Saccharomyces cerevisiae S288C: one gene and its partners. The gene in region 1 interacts genetically with each later gene. Each region holds a gene or a part of one and is shown in the gene's direction. Other genes may lie near its edges.

Evidence for each region. A genetic interaction does not mean that the proteins touch.
Region 2: mutations in PHO90 (region 1) and PMA2 together harm fitness more than expected from each alone (negative genetic interaction), as found in Saccharomyces cerevisiae (2 studies listed by BioGRID).
Region 3: mutations in PHO90 (region 1) and DIT2 together harm fitness more than expected from each alone (negative genetic interaction), as found in Saccharomyces cerevisiae (2 studies listed by BioGRID).

Annotation. Positions count from the first base shown.
Region 1 is NC_001142.9:58,898-64,033, forward strand, and holds PHO90 (SPX domain-containing inorganic phosphate transporter), read left to right. Parts: upstream 1-1,946; coding exon 1,947-4,592; downstream 4,593-5,136. Other genes in the region: MBB1 (Mbb1p), read right to left, coding at 959-1,285; putative ubiquitin-specific protease UBP12, read left to right, coding at 4,908-5,136. UniProt on the Saccharomyces cerevisiae protein: Low-affinity phosphate transporter involved in the control of cellular phosphate levels.
Region 2 is NC_001148.4:480,855-486,239, forward strand, and holds PMA2 (H(+)-exporting P2-type ATPase PMA2), read left to right. Parts: upstream 1-1,988; coding exon 1,989-4,832; downstream 4,833-5,385. Other genes in the region: MET31 (Met31p), read left to right, coding at 1-214; EGD1 (Egd1p), read right to left, coding at 574-1,047. UniProt on the Saccharomyces cerevisiae protein: The plasma membrane ATPase of plants and fungi is a hydrogen ion pump. The proton gradient it generates drives the active transport of nutrients by H(+)-symport. The resulting external acidification and/or internal alkinization may mediate growth responses.
Region 3 is NC_001136.10:1,271,681-1,275,340, reverse strand, and holds DIT2 (putative cytochrome P450), read left to right. Parts: upstream 1-1,637; coding exon 1,638-3,107; downstream 3,108-3,660. Other genes in the region: DIT1 (Dit1p), read right to left, coding at 1-739; URH1 (trifunctional uridine nucleosidase/nicotinamide riboside hydrolase/nicotinic acid riboside hydrolase), read right to left, coding at 3,256-3,660. UniProt on the Saccharomyces cerevisiae protein: Involved in spore wall maturation. Thought to catalyze the oxidation of tyrosine residues in the formation of LL-dityrosine a precursor of the spore wall.

The DNA of each region.
Region 1 (5,136 bases):
TACGAAAAGATGAAAATATTTTAGTTTATATACATGTTTGATGCCATACCATCTATTGACATAATCTACGATGTGAGAGCTGTATGATATTGTGGAACTTTGTATATATTGAAAAAATTTTCCAGTGGAATTTTACTCGCGATGACTCAAGAGCGTGAAAAAAAAAAAAAAAAAAAAATTAATTGCTAAAAAATCAAATATATGCTTCCAATCGGATTTGAACCGATGATCTCCACATTACTAGTGTGGCGCCTTACCAACTTGGCCATAGAAGCTTCTATTTTATATTTGCCTGACCTATTTTAACGGTTATATTCCACAAACATTTTAATCATGAAGCAATTTTTTTGATGTTGATGTGAGAGTAATAAGCACTGTGCTGAGAAGAGGATCAACAACATGATATTCTACGGAACGTAAAGGATACAATGTTATTGGACTAAGAATCGTCTATCATCTTAAGAAATGGGTGGATGATCGGACAATTATTGAGAAGGTTTCATTGTGGAGAACAAATCGCAATATTGTGCAATCCTTTAGATATGTCAAGATAAAATACTAGGGAGGCTTCGCCCATTCATTAAAGAGTATAGCTACCGCATACTGTTTAGTAGTATACTATCACATGTGGTGTAAAAAGATAACATAAAGATTGAGAATCAGTCATCAAATGTAATGGAAGCTGAAAATGCAAGGATTGATAGTGTAATAGGAACGAAACATATGAAAACGGAATGAGGAATAGTCGTATTATTAGTATGTATAGATTCCATTTGAGAATTCTTATATCCTCGAGGGGAACTTCTAGTATATTCTGTATACATAATATTGTAGCCTCTATCAACAACGGAATCCCAACAATTATCTCAAAACTCACTTATATCTCACAAAACACTCAATAGCGACCCTTAAATGTTACTGAACCTCATATTGTTTCGCTCTGCTCCCTTATATATTGTTAATGCAATCGGGACAGCTCACTGACTGAACGGTGAATAGTGGCTCCCGGAAAGCTGAGAGTTGTGAACTCGCCACCTCTGTTAAGTAAGTCGTAAGCTGTTAAAGCTGCGTCACGAGTAATGAGCTGCCAGTTCGGCCTCTGATCGCTGTACTTTATGGTAAAAAGATAGTTCCTAGTAGAAGACGAGTCATACTCGTAAACAAGCACCGCTGGATACTCTTCTCTATCAAGACGTAAAGCGTACTTGTAATCTCTAAGTTCGCCAATCCAAATTTCTGATATGCCACTCATTATCCTCACCCCACATGCTGACACCTTATACATTCAATATCTCCCTTCTCCTACTTAACCTTATGTTACCCTTTTTTTTTGGCTTGCATTTATATTTGGTTTACATAGCAACAACCGATAGCGGGTAACAGCATTAAGCTTCCCATCTCCCGTTCACTGTTATTACCTTTGGCACGTAAAGGGCCGGCTAATAATGTCGTATTTCCACTGATTTGGATGTATGTTGCATGGTGCTAGATTGTGAATAAATCATTTCCACTGGTTTCTAGCAGAGGTAAGAAAATCAGTAGTAGCGGCAGCAGCCAAGAAAAATGGCAGCCTGGCAAGCAGCGAAGGCCATCTGTGCTGCATTTCCACACTCCTTGTATGACTGCATACGCATAAAGAGGTGCCTTGCTGTAGGCGTATATGATCCTAAGCAACAGAGAAACCACGGTTCTCTTCTCTTCTTATTTCGTTATTGTCTTCCCTTTTTACTATGGGTAAAGTCGCCCTAAAGCGGGGCGCTCACAATATCGCCGCAGCTACAGCCGTTTTTTTTTTTTTTGTTTTTTTTTGCGCTGCTTCTCGAAGAATGAATGGCTCACTGAAAAATTTTGATTCATCGATATAAAGAACACTGTTCACTTCGATGTCATCCGGCCAATAAAGTTGTTTTTAGGATAAACGAGTAAGTGGTAGCTGGTACAGGATCATGAGATTTTCACACTTCTTGAAGTACAATGCTGTCCCAGAATGGCAAAACCATTATATGGACTACAGCGAGCTGAAAAATCTTATTTACACGCTACAAACAGATGAACTTCAGGTTGGTGATAACGAAGAAGGATTTGGCGCAGGAAAGAGCTCTAACATTACAGATAGGTTCAAAAACAAGTTTTCTTTTAAAAATGCGAAGGAAGATACGTCTTCCGGTATGAACAAAGATGCAGGCATCGTTGAGGAAACCATCGAGTTGCGAGAGTTGCCTACTGCTCAGACGGTCGCTGCCAAACCTTCTCCTTTCAGAAGAATGAAGGAAAAGATATTTTACAAAAGAAGGTCGTCTTCCGCATCGTCCGTCTCCTCCACGGCCAACGAAAATCTGCAATTAGACACTTATGATACGTTTGTTGGTGATTTAACAGCTGAAAAACAGAAAGTAGATGATTTTTATAAGAGGACAGAAGCGAAGTTCTACGACAAATTTGACGCGCTGGTGAAGGACCTGAAGAAAATCGGAGTTATAGAATACGATATCGACGATGATACTCTGTTTAACGAACCGATTGCCAGCACAAATGACGAAGTTCCCCCACTAGACTTGGATGATGACGAAGACGACGACGAATTTTACGATGATCAATCTAATATTGAAGATAATACTGCTTTGCTGCATCATTCGCAGTATAACATTAAGTCTCAGAAAAAATCGCTGTTGAAGAAGTCGATCGTAAACCTATATATCGATCTTTGCCAGTTGAAGTCGTTCATCGAATTGAACCGCATTGGGTTTGCAAAAATTACAAAGAAATCAGACAAAGTTCTTCACTTGAATACAAGAACCGAACTGATCGAATCGGAGCAGTTTTTCAAAGACACATATGCATTCCAGGCAGAAACGATCGAATTGCTAAATTCCAAAATTTCCCAGCTAGTCACATTTTATGCGCGCATCACTGACCGGCCTCATAATATCTCGCATAGCAAGCAAGAGTTGAAATCCTACCTGCATGACCACATTGTTTGGGAAAGAAGTAACACTTGGAAAGACATGTTGGGACTGCTATCGCAAGCTGACGAGTTGACACCAAAGGAAACAGAATATAATGCAAATAAGCTGGTAGGCAAGTTAGATTTGGAATACTACAGATGGCCACTACCCAGACCGATAAACTTAAAATTCACTAGTATAAACAACGTTGCACTACCGAAATTATTTTTCACCAAGAAAGCATACAAGATTTACTTTATTATTCTAGTCACTGGACTCTTGTTAGGAATAAAGACCTTCAACGACGCTGCTCAGCACCGCTGCATGGCCCTTGTCGAGTGTGTCGCCTTTTTGTGGGCTAGTGAGGCCATCCCATTACACATTACAGCATTCCTTGTACCACTACTTGTAGTCCTTTTCAAAGTCCTAAAAACCTCCGACGGGGCTATAATGAGTGCTGCAAGCGCTTCATCAGAAATTTTGGCCGCCATGTGGTCTTCTACAATTATGATTCTGCTGGCAGGTTTTACTTTGGGTGAAGTACTTGCACAATATAACATCGCCAAAGTTCTTGCCTCGTGGTTGTTGGCCTTCGCTGGTTGTAAACCCAGAAACGTTCTTTTAATGGCAATGTGTGTCGTGTTCTTCCTATCAATGTGGATTTCCAATGTCGCAGCACCTGTTCTAACATATTCGTTGTTATCTCCCCTATTGGATGCCATGGATGCAGATAGCCCATTTGCGCAAGCATTGGTGTTAGGTGTAGCGTTGGCTGCAAATATCGGTGGTATGTCTTCACCAATCTCTTCACCTCAAAACATCATTTCCATGTCGTACTTGAAACCCTATGGTATTGGCTGGGGCCAATTCTTTGCTGTTGCATTGCCATCTGGTATCCTGGCCATGCTTTTGGTTTGGATTTTATTGTTCACTACTTTCAAGATGAATAAGACCAAATTGGAAAAATTTAAGCCTATTAAGACGAAATTCACAGTTAAGCAGTATTATATCATTACTGTCACTGTGGCCACTATTTTGTTGTGGTGTGTGGAAAGCCAGATTGAAGGTGCTTTTGGGTCATCAGGTCAAATTGCAATCATTCCCATCGTTTTGTTTTTTGGTACCGGATTACTATCAACACAAGATTTAAATGCCTTTCCGTGGTCAATCGTTATTTTGGCAATGGGAGGTATTGCTTTGGGGAAGGCCGTCTCATCCTCGGGTTTGCTATCAACCATTGCAAAAGCATTACAAAAGAAAATTGAGAATGATGGTGTTTTTGCCATTCTATGTATTTTCGGTATCCTGATGTTGGTTGTGGGTACTTTCGTCTCGCATACAGTATCCGCTATTATCATCATTCCCTTGGTGCAAGAAGTTGGTGACAAGCTTGGCAACCCCAAAGCTGCTCCTATCCTTGTTTTCGGTTGTGCATTATTGTCATCCTGTGGTATGGGACTAGCTTCTTCGGGGTTCCCCAATGTCACTGCCATCTCTAAAGTAGATAGAAAGGGCGATCGCTATTTAAGTGTCATGACTTTCTTAACGAGAGGTGTTCCAGCTTCTATTTTGGCTTTCCTATGTGTCATTACTCTAGGTTATGGTATCATGGCATCTGTTGTCAAGGGTAACGCAACCTCTGCGTAAGAGATACGTCTACGATAGCATGTAACAGCGTATATATAATCTATATGTATTCGATTAATCCAACACTTCTGTTGTGTAGTCTAATGTTCGAAAAAAAGGTACGCTTCCCTGTTATAATCAGGTATATTTCGTTATTCTTATAAGCTAAAAGATTAAAAATTTTTCCACTTTCCTTGAAATTTGGTCGGTTCGTGGAAAAATATTATTACGTATTGAAGAAGTGCATGAAGATAAAAGATGGGATTACTGGAAAAATAAAGGGAGGAAAATCCTGCAGAACGTTGTTGTTTCAATCGAAGGTTTCTTCATTCGAAAATGGGTTCTTCAGATGTTTCAAGTCGTGAATGTTCATTGGTTTATAATGAAGATCCCGATTTCACCGATGGCACAACACCATGTGATCGGTTGGGAGTGGACTTGATGAATGTTCTAGATGACAAGGATGAAATAAAGCAAGAGTCTGTCCCAGTCTCAGATCGTGAAATTGAGGATACGGAATCCGATGCTTCCGCTGTTTCTTCATTTGCTAGCGCTAATGAGTTAA
Region 2 (5,385 bases), on another chromosome or scaffold:
TTCTGATCTGAGAAGACATGAAAAGGTACACTCACTCGTGCTGCCGCATATTTGCTCAAACTGTGGCAAAGGGTTTGCCAGGAAGGATGCTCTAAAAAGACATTCTAACACACTGACCTGTCAAAGAAACAGAAAGAAACTAAGTGAAGGTTCAGACGTTGATGTAGATGAGCTCATCAAGGATGCGATAAAGAATGGTACCGGCCTGTTGTAAGGCTAGAGGAAAACGTATTTGTCTCCATCAGCACACCTACACATACATATATAGATAGATATATACTTTAGCCATTGAGATAAGTAGAATAAAAAAACGTTGTAATATTCCGATACAGTTAGTGACATGTTCTCTACTTTTGCCAATTTTTTGCGCACAAAGTGGTGACGTACAAGTTCATCATTTCACGTGTGCAGCATAGTGTGGTATATTGTTTTTTTATATTTTATTTTTTATTTTTTTTTTTTTGCAGAAAACAGTGTTTGTATTATATGCTTTAGATATGCTAAAAAAAATGAAAAAAAATGGAACAAAATATGTGTTTTTTTATTTAACGTTAAAATTAAAGATTAAGTTATTTATTCGACGTCAGCATCAAAAGTTTGACCTTCAACTAACTCTGGAATAGCTTCATCCTTCTTTTCAGCATCAGCTGGAGCCTTGGCTTCGTGCTTTTCCATTTGGGCAGCCAATTGAGACAAGGCTTGGATGGCTTCAGGGCCCAATTGAGAGATAATACCTGGGAACAAATCTTGCAAGTTCTTTTCCTGTGGTAGACCGTAGAATACAGAAGTGTTGTGTTGAGCAGCAACTTGGACACCGACCTTGTTGAAGTGCATGACCTTACCGTCGTCCTTGAAAAAGTTGGCTTCGGCGACGTTGTCAATGGTGACAGCGTGCAACTTAGCTAATTGACTTTGCAACTTGGTGTCATCCTTGTTGGCACCGGCAGAAGAGCCTGCCTTCTTGTTAAGCTTTCTTCTAGTACCACCAACTTTGTTGTTAGCAGACAACTTTTGTAGCTTAGCTAATTTTTCTTGGTCAATTGGCATTATGAATTATGAGTCGCGTCTGGTGTGAGATGTTCTATTCTTAAACCTCCCTAGAAAGAATATTCGCTCTCTTGTGACAAAGGAGGGGTTACTACTTAACAAGCAATTGCAGCTGTTTCCACTACGAAATCTTCCAATGTCAACGAAAAAAATTCAAAAATTTTCTGCTTTTTTTTTCAACATCTGCCGTACTAAATGATTCCACAATAATCCATCATATACCATTACCCTGATTCCCATCGAAGAAAAGGCGGTGTCCCCTTACCCGTCCGCTCATGCCAAGAGATTAATTCATAACCGCTCTTCCTTGGATCAGAAGTGAACATATGAAGTTGCAACTACTACATACTTACTACCGTAGTCCATCATCAAGGACCCAAACATTCACGACTCCAGCGCGCCACGTTCTTCGCCATACTGCTTAACATTTTGGTACGAGTGCGAATTAGGGAAGTCGATGATAAAATAGAATATGCGAAAAAGAGGAAGAGCAGCCGTGAGAAAAAAGAAAAAAAAAGGCCTAAGGTATTCTCTACTCCAAAATCGTCGAGGGAGGGCAAAAGAAATTTTTTTTGTTTAAGGGAATTGCGAAGTCAATTGATTGATGAAGTAGCTTCTCTGGAAAAATGGCGGACAGACGCTGCTCAAATAACCGTCGAAGGGGGAAAGGTTATCGGTGGAAACATATTTGTAAGTACATAATAGTGAATTTACTTCTTGTCGGCGTCCCCTAAACGTAATTGGCGGTGTGATGGTACTTCGTTATATAAAGGTGTGTAATATCCTCTTTTACCATCTATTATTTCTTCCAGCATTTCTTGCTGGATAACCTACTGTATCCAAGCTACTGGGCTTTTTTAAACATACCCATAACTTTTTTTTTTTCATTTTTCGTTGCTGTGTGCTAGTACAATTTAAGCAAAAGGAAACTGTTTTGCGTTATGTCTTCCACTGAAGCAAAGCAATACAAGGAGAAACCCTCGAAAGAGTACCTCCATGCCAGTGATGGCGATGACCCTGCAAATAATTCTGCCGCTTCTTCGTCATCTTCGTCTTCTACATCAACTTCCGCCTCGTCATCGGCTGCAGCCGTTCCACGGAAGGCCGCAGCCGCTTCTGCCGCTGATGATTCTGACTCAGATGAAGATATAGACCAATTGATTGATGAACTACAATCTAACTACGGTGAGGGTGATGAATCTGGTGAAGAAGAAGTACGTACTGATGGGGTGCACGCTGGCCAAAGGGTTGTTCCTGAAAAGGACCTTTCTACGGACCCTGCGTATGGTTTGACTTCGGATGAAGTCGCCAGGAGAAGAAAGAAATATGGGTTAAATCAAATGGCTGAGGAGAATGAATCGTTGATTGTGAAGTTTTTGATGTTCTTCGTAGGGCCTATTCAATTCGTTATGGAGGCTGCTGCTATTTTGGCTGCCGGTTTGTCTGATTGGGTTGATGTCGGTGTCATCTGTGCTTTACTGCTATTAAACGCATCTGTCGGATTTATTCAAGAATTCCAGGCAGGTTCCATCGTAGACGAGCTGAAAAAGACGTTGGCCAATACTGCAACAGTTATTAGAGATGGCCAATTGATCGAAATTCCGGCTAATGAGGTAGTTCCTGGTGAGATTTTGCAATTGGAAAGTGGCACAATTGCTCCCGCAGATGGTCGTATTGTCACTGAAGACTGTTTTTTGCAGATCGATCAATCGGCCATCACTGGTGAATCCTTAGCCGCTGAAAAGCATTACGGTGATGAGGTGTTCTCCTCATCCACTGTGAAAACCGGCGAGGCTTTTATGGTTGTTACTGCCACTGGTGACAATACCTTCGTCGGTAGGGCTGCCGCCTTAGTGGGGCAGGCTTCCGGTGTAGAGGGCCATTTCACTGAAGTATTGAATGGAATTGGTATTATCTTACTTGTTCTAGTTATCGCTACTTTGTTGTTGGTCTGGACCGCATGTTTCTATAGAACGGTCGGTATTGTAAGCATTTTGAGATATACTTTGGGTATAACCATCATTGGTGTCCCAGTCGGTTTGCCAGCAGTTGTTACCACGACCATGGCTGTCGGTGCAGCTTACTTGGCTAAGAAGCAAGCCATTGTTCAAAAGTTATCTGCTATTGAATCCCTTGCTGGTGTTGAGATTTTATGTTCTGACAAGACTGGTACTTTAACCAAAAACAAGTTATCTTTACACGAACCCTACACTGTCGAAGGCGTTTCTCCGGACGACTTGATGTTGACCGCTTGTTTAGCTGCCTCTAGAAAGAAGAAAGGTTTGGATGCTATTGATAAGGCTTTTTTGAAGTCATTGATTGAGTATCCAAAAGCTAAAGACGCCCTGACCAAGTACAAAGTTTTGGAATTCCATCCGTTCGACCCTGTCTCAAAAAAGGTTACCGCTGTTGTAGAATCCCCAGAAGGTGAAAGAATTGTTTGTGTCAAGGGAGCCCCATTGTTTGTCTTGAAGACTGTTGAAGAAGATCACCCAATTCCGGAAGATGTGCATGAAAACTACGAAAATAAGGTTGCTGAACTAGCTTCTAGAGGTTTCCGTGCTTTAGGTGTTGCTAGAAAGAGAGGGGAAGGTCACTGGGAAATCTTGGGTGTTATGCCATGTATGGACCCCCCTAGAGATGACACCGCTCAAACAATCAATGAGGCCAGAAACCTTGGTTTGAGAATCAAGATGTTAACCGGTGACGCTGTTGGTATCGCGAAAGAAACGTGTAGGCAATTAGGACTTGGTACAAACATTTATAACGCAGAAAGGTTAGGTCTGGGAGGTGGAGGTGATATGCCTGGTTCAGAGTTGGCTGATTTTGTTGAAAATGCCGATGGTTTCGCAGAAGTTTTCCCACAGCATAAATACAGAGTCGTTGAAATCTTGCAAAACAGAGGTTACTTGGTTGCTATGACTGGTGATGGTGTTAACGATGCCCCATCTTTGAAGAAGGCTGATACTGGTATTGCTGTCGAAGGTGCTACCGATGCTGCCAGATCAGCCGCTGATATTGTTTTCTTGGCCCCTGGTCTCTCTGCTATTATTGATGCCTTAAAGACTTCTAGACAGATTTTCCACAGAATGTACTCCTATGTTGTTTATCGTATTGCCCTATCCTTACATTTGGAGATTTTCCTGGGTTTATGGATTGCTATTTTAAACAACTCTTTGGATATCAATTTGATCGTTTTTATTGCTATTTTCGCAGACGTTGCCACTTTAACTATTGCTTATGACAATGCTCCTTATGCTCCTGAACCTGTGAAATGGAACCTACCAAGATTATGGGGTATGTCTATTATTTTGGGCATAGTTTTAGCTATAGGTTCTTGGATTACTTTAACCACCATGTTCTTGCCTAATGGTGGTATTATCCAAAATTTTGGTGCCATGAATGGTGTCATGTTCCTGCAGATTTCACTAACTGAAAATTGGTTAATTTTTGTCACTAGAGCTGCTGGCCCATTCTGGTCTTCCATTCCATCGTGGCAGTTAGCCGGTGCCGTTTTCGCCGTTGATATTATTGCTACCATGTTTACCTTATTTGGCTGGTGGTCTGAAAACTGGACTGATATTGTGTCAGTCGTTCGTGTCTGGATTTGGTCCATTGGTATTTTTTGTGTATTGGGAGGATTTTACTATATTATGTCCACGTCTCAAGCCTTTGATAGGTTGATGAATGGTAAGTCATTAAAGGAAAAGAAGTCTACAAGAAGTGTCGAAGATTTCATGGCTGCTATGCAAAGAGTTTCTACTCAACACGAAAAAAGCAGTTAGTAATTTTAAACATCATCCATCTGATTTTTTTTCTTATTGATCTCCTTTTTGTTATTCCTCATTTTCATTTCAATTTGTCGATACCAAGGAAGCCAAGACGTTATAAAAGAACACGGTCAACAAAAATCAAATTAATGCCTCTTCAATTGTGCTCTGTTTGATACCTTCGATATGATGTTACAGTTTTAAAGTTTACACACAAGTTTTTAGACTAAGTGGCATCATATCTGTCAATTTTATCACACACACACACACACACACACACAAACAAACATATCCACATATCAGAAGTAGGCCGATCTTTTGCTTGATTGGATGCAAATTCATATGGAAAATTTTTTTCATATTATTTCGTGTTCTTTTGACTATTTTCCTCTCCAAAAAGGAAGAATCATTCCAATAACAACACACGAATTCCCATCCAACATGGTGAAATGACTAAATATTTTTTTTTTCGAAACATTAAATCAATCTAATTCTTAATTTTTAATAAACATATAATGCACACTTATTTACATACAAGCACATTGCACGTATTATATCAGTTTCTTCT
Region 3 (3,660 bases), on another chromosome or scaffold:
ATCTTTTCAAAGCGAGTTCTTCGCCTTTGTCAGGAACGGAACCGTACACTTTTTGCTCATTAGATGACTTACATGGAAACGCTGGCAAGATGCATTCAATTCTCAAATATCGATCGGTAAAATATCTTGAACGTTCAATAAAATAATCACGGCCACCAAAATTCCATTGATCATTAACTATTGTGTTTTTCAAATTTTTCTCAAAAAAATCTGCAAATAATTCGTGATACTTAACTTCTTTGGTTACAATTGGATGTTCACTTAGAGATAATTGAGATTGGTCTAAAATATGATATACGAACCAGTTATTGAAAGAATTTTCATTCTCAACTGTTGTAACACACCCACGAATCTGGCGTTCGTCATCGCGTGTATATTCAGAAATCTTTATTGCCACTCCTAAATTATTGGTAAATTTATTTGCTAAAGAAGCTGGCAAAATTCTTTCAGAAACCCGTCCACTTACTTCGGATTCAGAAAAGTCCAGATTGTGAATAGTGTTGATAAAGTCGAGCCATTGGTCTCCAAATTTACAATTCTGTTTTTCCTCTAAAGAGTAAAAATCGTCACATTTGTCGCTTCTGCAATACAGGGCCAGAAATTTACTATATGTAGACAAATCGGCCCCATTATGGGGAATATCAATATCTTTCAACGTATCAGTCGATGAAGAAAATGAAGAGGCAGGTGGTGATATTGACTGCTCGGAGCTTGAGGGCAAGTTGCTAGTAAATGTCATTTTTGTTAATGTCTCGACAAAGCTTTACCGAATTAGGATATTAACAAATTGTTTATTTAGTCAAGACTTTGCGGAGGAGCACAATTTATGTGAAAATTTATTTCAATATTTATACATCATTTTTGATTCTGAACCTATTTTCAGAAATTGTTTTACAACATCGTAGGGCAGGCACTATGCCCTTGCAAATTTTATGATATACTGTCCACTGAAAGCAATGCAATCAAAATTCAAATAAACTCCTGAGGGGCCAATAATATAAGGATTTTTAGCACGCGACGTCTGGGATTGAGTGCCATGTATGTAAAGACGAGCAATTACTTTATGTTCCCTTATTTGTGAGGGGTTCCTGGTTTGCTTTTTTCGATCAATTCTCCTGATATTATTGAGTAAATTAGACAAATTGTTAGGAAACAACAAATTCCGATGCTTACTTACCCCTTAAATTTTCTCATTGCTCTTCATTGAGGTTGCATACCTCACCATATTTGTCATAGAAGGTCCCTTAAGGCGCCTTTTTATTTTTTCTTGGCAAGAGAACCCTTTTATTTATGGCCAGACGCGCGTCGCAAAAAAAGGTAAACATCAATAATTTTCCTTCCAGGGACTCTCAATAAAAAGACTGTAACTTGTATTATCAAATTGAGAAGCAATTACGTATTCCACCCCTCATTACTTCCCCGATACAATTTATTTTCACTTCTTTCGATGAATGCAGTGATTTCTATCTTTCCCGAAAATTACAAGCCACGGACCACAAGAGGAATGACTGGTCATCCTGATGCGAATAGTATATTAGGTAGTGCAAAAAAATACATTAATTTTCTTGAAATATTTTCGTTTTTTCAAAATGGTATTTGATTCAGACTAAGAGAATAAATCGAAAAAAGCATTAAAAATGGAGTTGTTAAAGCTTCTGTGTTTGATTTTATTTCTTACTCTTTCCTATGTCGCCTTTGCAATCATTGTCCCACCTCTAAACTTTCCCAAAAATATACCCACCATCCCATTTTATGTAGTATTTTTACCAGTAATATTTCCCATTGATCAAACGGAGCTATACGATCTTTATATTAGGGAATCAATGGAAAAATACGGTGCTGTAAAATTTTTCTTTGGTTCACGGTGGAATATTCTCGTTTCTCGTTCTGAGTATCTAGCACAAATATTCAAAGATGAAGATACTTTTGCGAAGAGCGGTAATCAAAAGAAAATCCCATACAGTGCTCTTGCCGCTTACACAGGGGACAATGTCATTAGCGCGTATGGTGCAGTTTGGAGAAACTACAGAAATGCTGTGACAAACGGGCTCCAACATTTTGACGATGCACCTATATTCAAAAATGCAAAAATTTTATGCACTTTGATAAAAAACAGACTCCTAGAAGGACAAACTTCGATCCCTATGGGACCTTTATCCCAGAGAATGGCATTGGATAACATTTCACAGGTTGCCCTTGGATTTGATTTTGGTGCTCTAACACATGAAAAAAATGCTTTCCACGAGCATTTGATTCGTATTAAAAAGCAAATATTTCATCCATTCTTTTTAACTTTTCCATTCCTTGATGTTCTTCCTATTCCTTCAAGAAAAAAAGCCTTCAAGGATGTTGTTAGTTTTAGAGAACTTCTCGTTAAAAGAGTTCAAGATGAATTAGTCAATAATTACAAATTTGAACAAACTACTTTTGCTGCCAGTGATCTAATTCGTGCTCACAATAACGAAATAATCGACTACAAACAGTTGACCGATAATATCGTCATTATCCTTGTCGCTGGCCATGAAAACCCGCAGTTGCTATTTAATAGTTCACTCTACCTTCTAGCCAAATATTCAAATGAATGGCAAGAGAAACTCAGGAAGGAAGTAAACGGCATCACTGATCCAAAAGGCTTAGCAGATTTACCCTTATTAAATGCTTTTCTCTTCGAAGTAGTAAGAATGTATCCTCCTTTGAGCACAATTATTAATAGATGTACTACCAAAACGTGCAAGTTGGGGGCGGAAATTGTTATACCCAAGGGCGTATATGTCGGGTACAACAACTTTGGAACCTCACACGATCCCAAAACTTGGGGCACAACAGCAGATGATTTTAAACCAGAAAGATGGGGTTCAGATATCGAAACCATAAGGAAAAACTGGAGAATGGCGAAAAACAGATGTGCTGTGACTGGGTTCCATGGAGGCCGAAGAGCATGCCTAGGGGAAAAACTAGCCCTAACAGAAATGAGAATTTCTTTGGCTGAAATGTTGAAACAGTTTCGATGGAGTCTTGACCCTGAATGGGAAGAAAAATTAACTCCCGCTGGGCCTCTTTGCCCTCTTAATTTAAAGTTAAAATTTAACGAGAATATAATGGAATAAATATAAAACATGTAGAATTGTATATATACGCATATATGTATACAATCGCGACAACTTTTAGTGAAACTTCTTTGTATCCAGTGAAAATGAAAGGAACAGAACCTGACCAAAGGTCAGTAGAAAAAAAAAAAGCCTTTTATAGAAGTTCTTATCCAATCGTTGACATTTTGTCTGCTCTATTTAATGCTTCAAAAATCTGATCCCAAAAGTACTGGATATTCAAATCGAGACCAATTATTGTACCAACATCACTGTCATTTGGATATTCTTTTTCAATGATAATTTTCCCTGAGTTTTCGTTGAAAACATCATCAATGCAGGATATGTCCATTCTCTTGTAGCGAAATCCAACCGCAGACGATGGATCCCACCCATAAAATTCCAAAAGCGGCATCAAAGCTACCGGATCATGTATAGGTGGGCCCGATTCAAATCCTTGCATATCCTTGTAGGTATGAGCAAAAAATTGAAAAAGCTCCAAAAACAATTCTCGTAACTTGCTGTTATTCTTTTCGTTGTATATCATTTCGTTAACCTTGTAAGTAGCTATGGC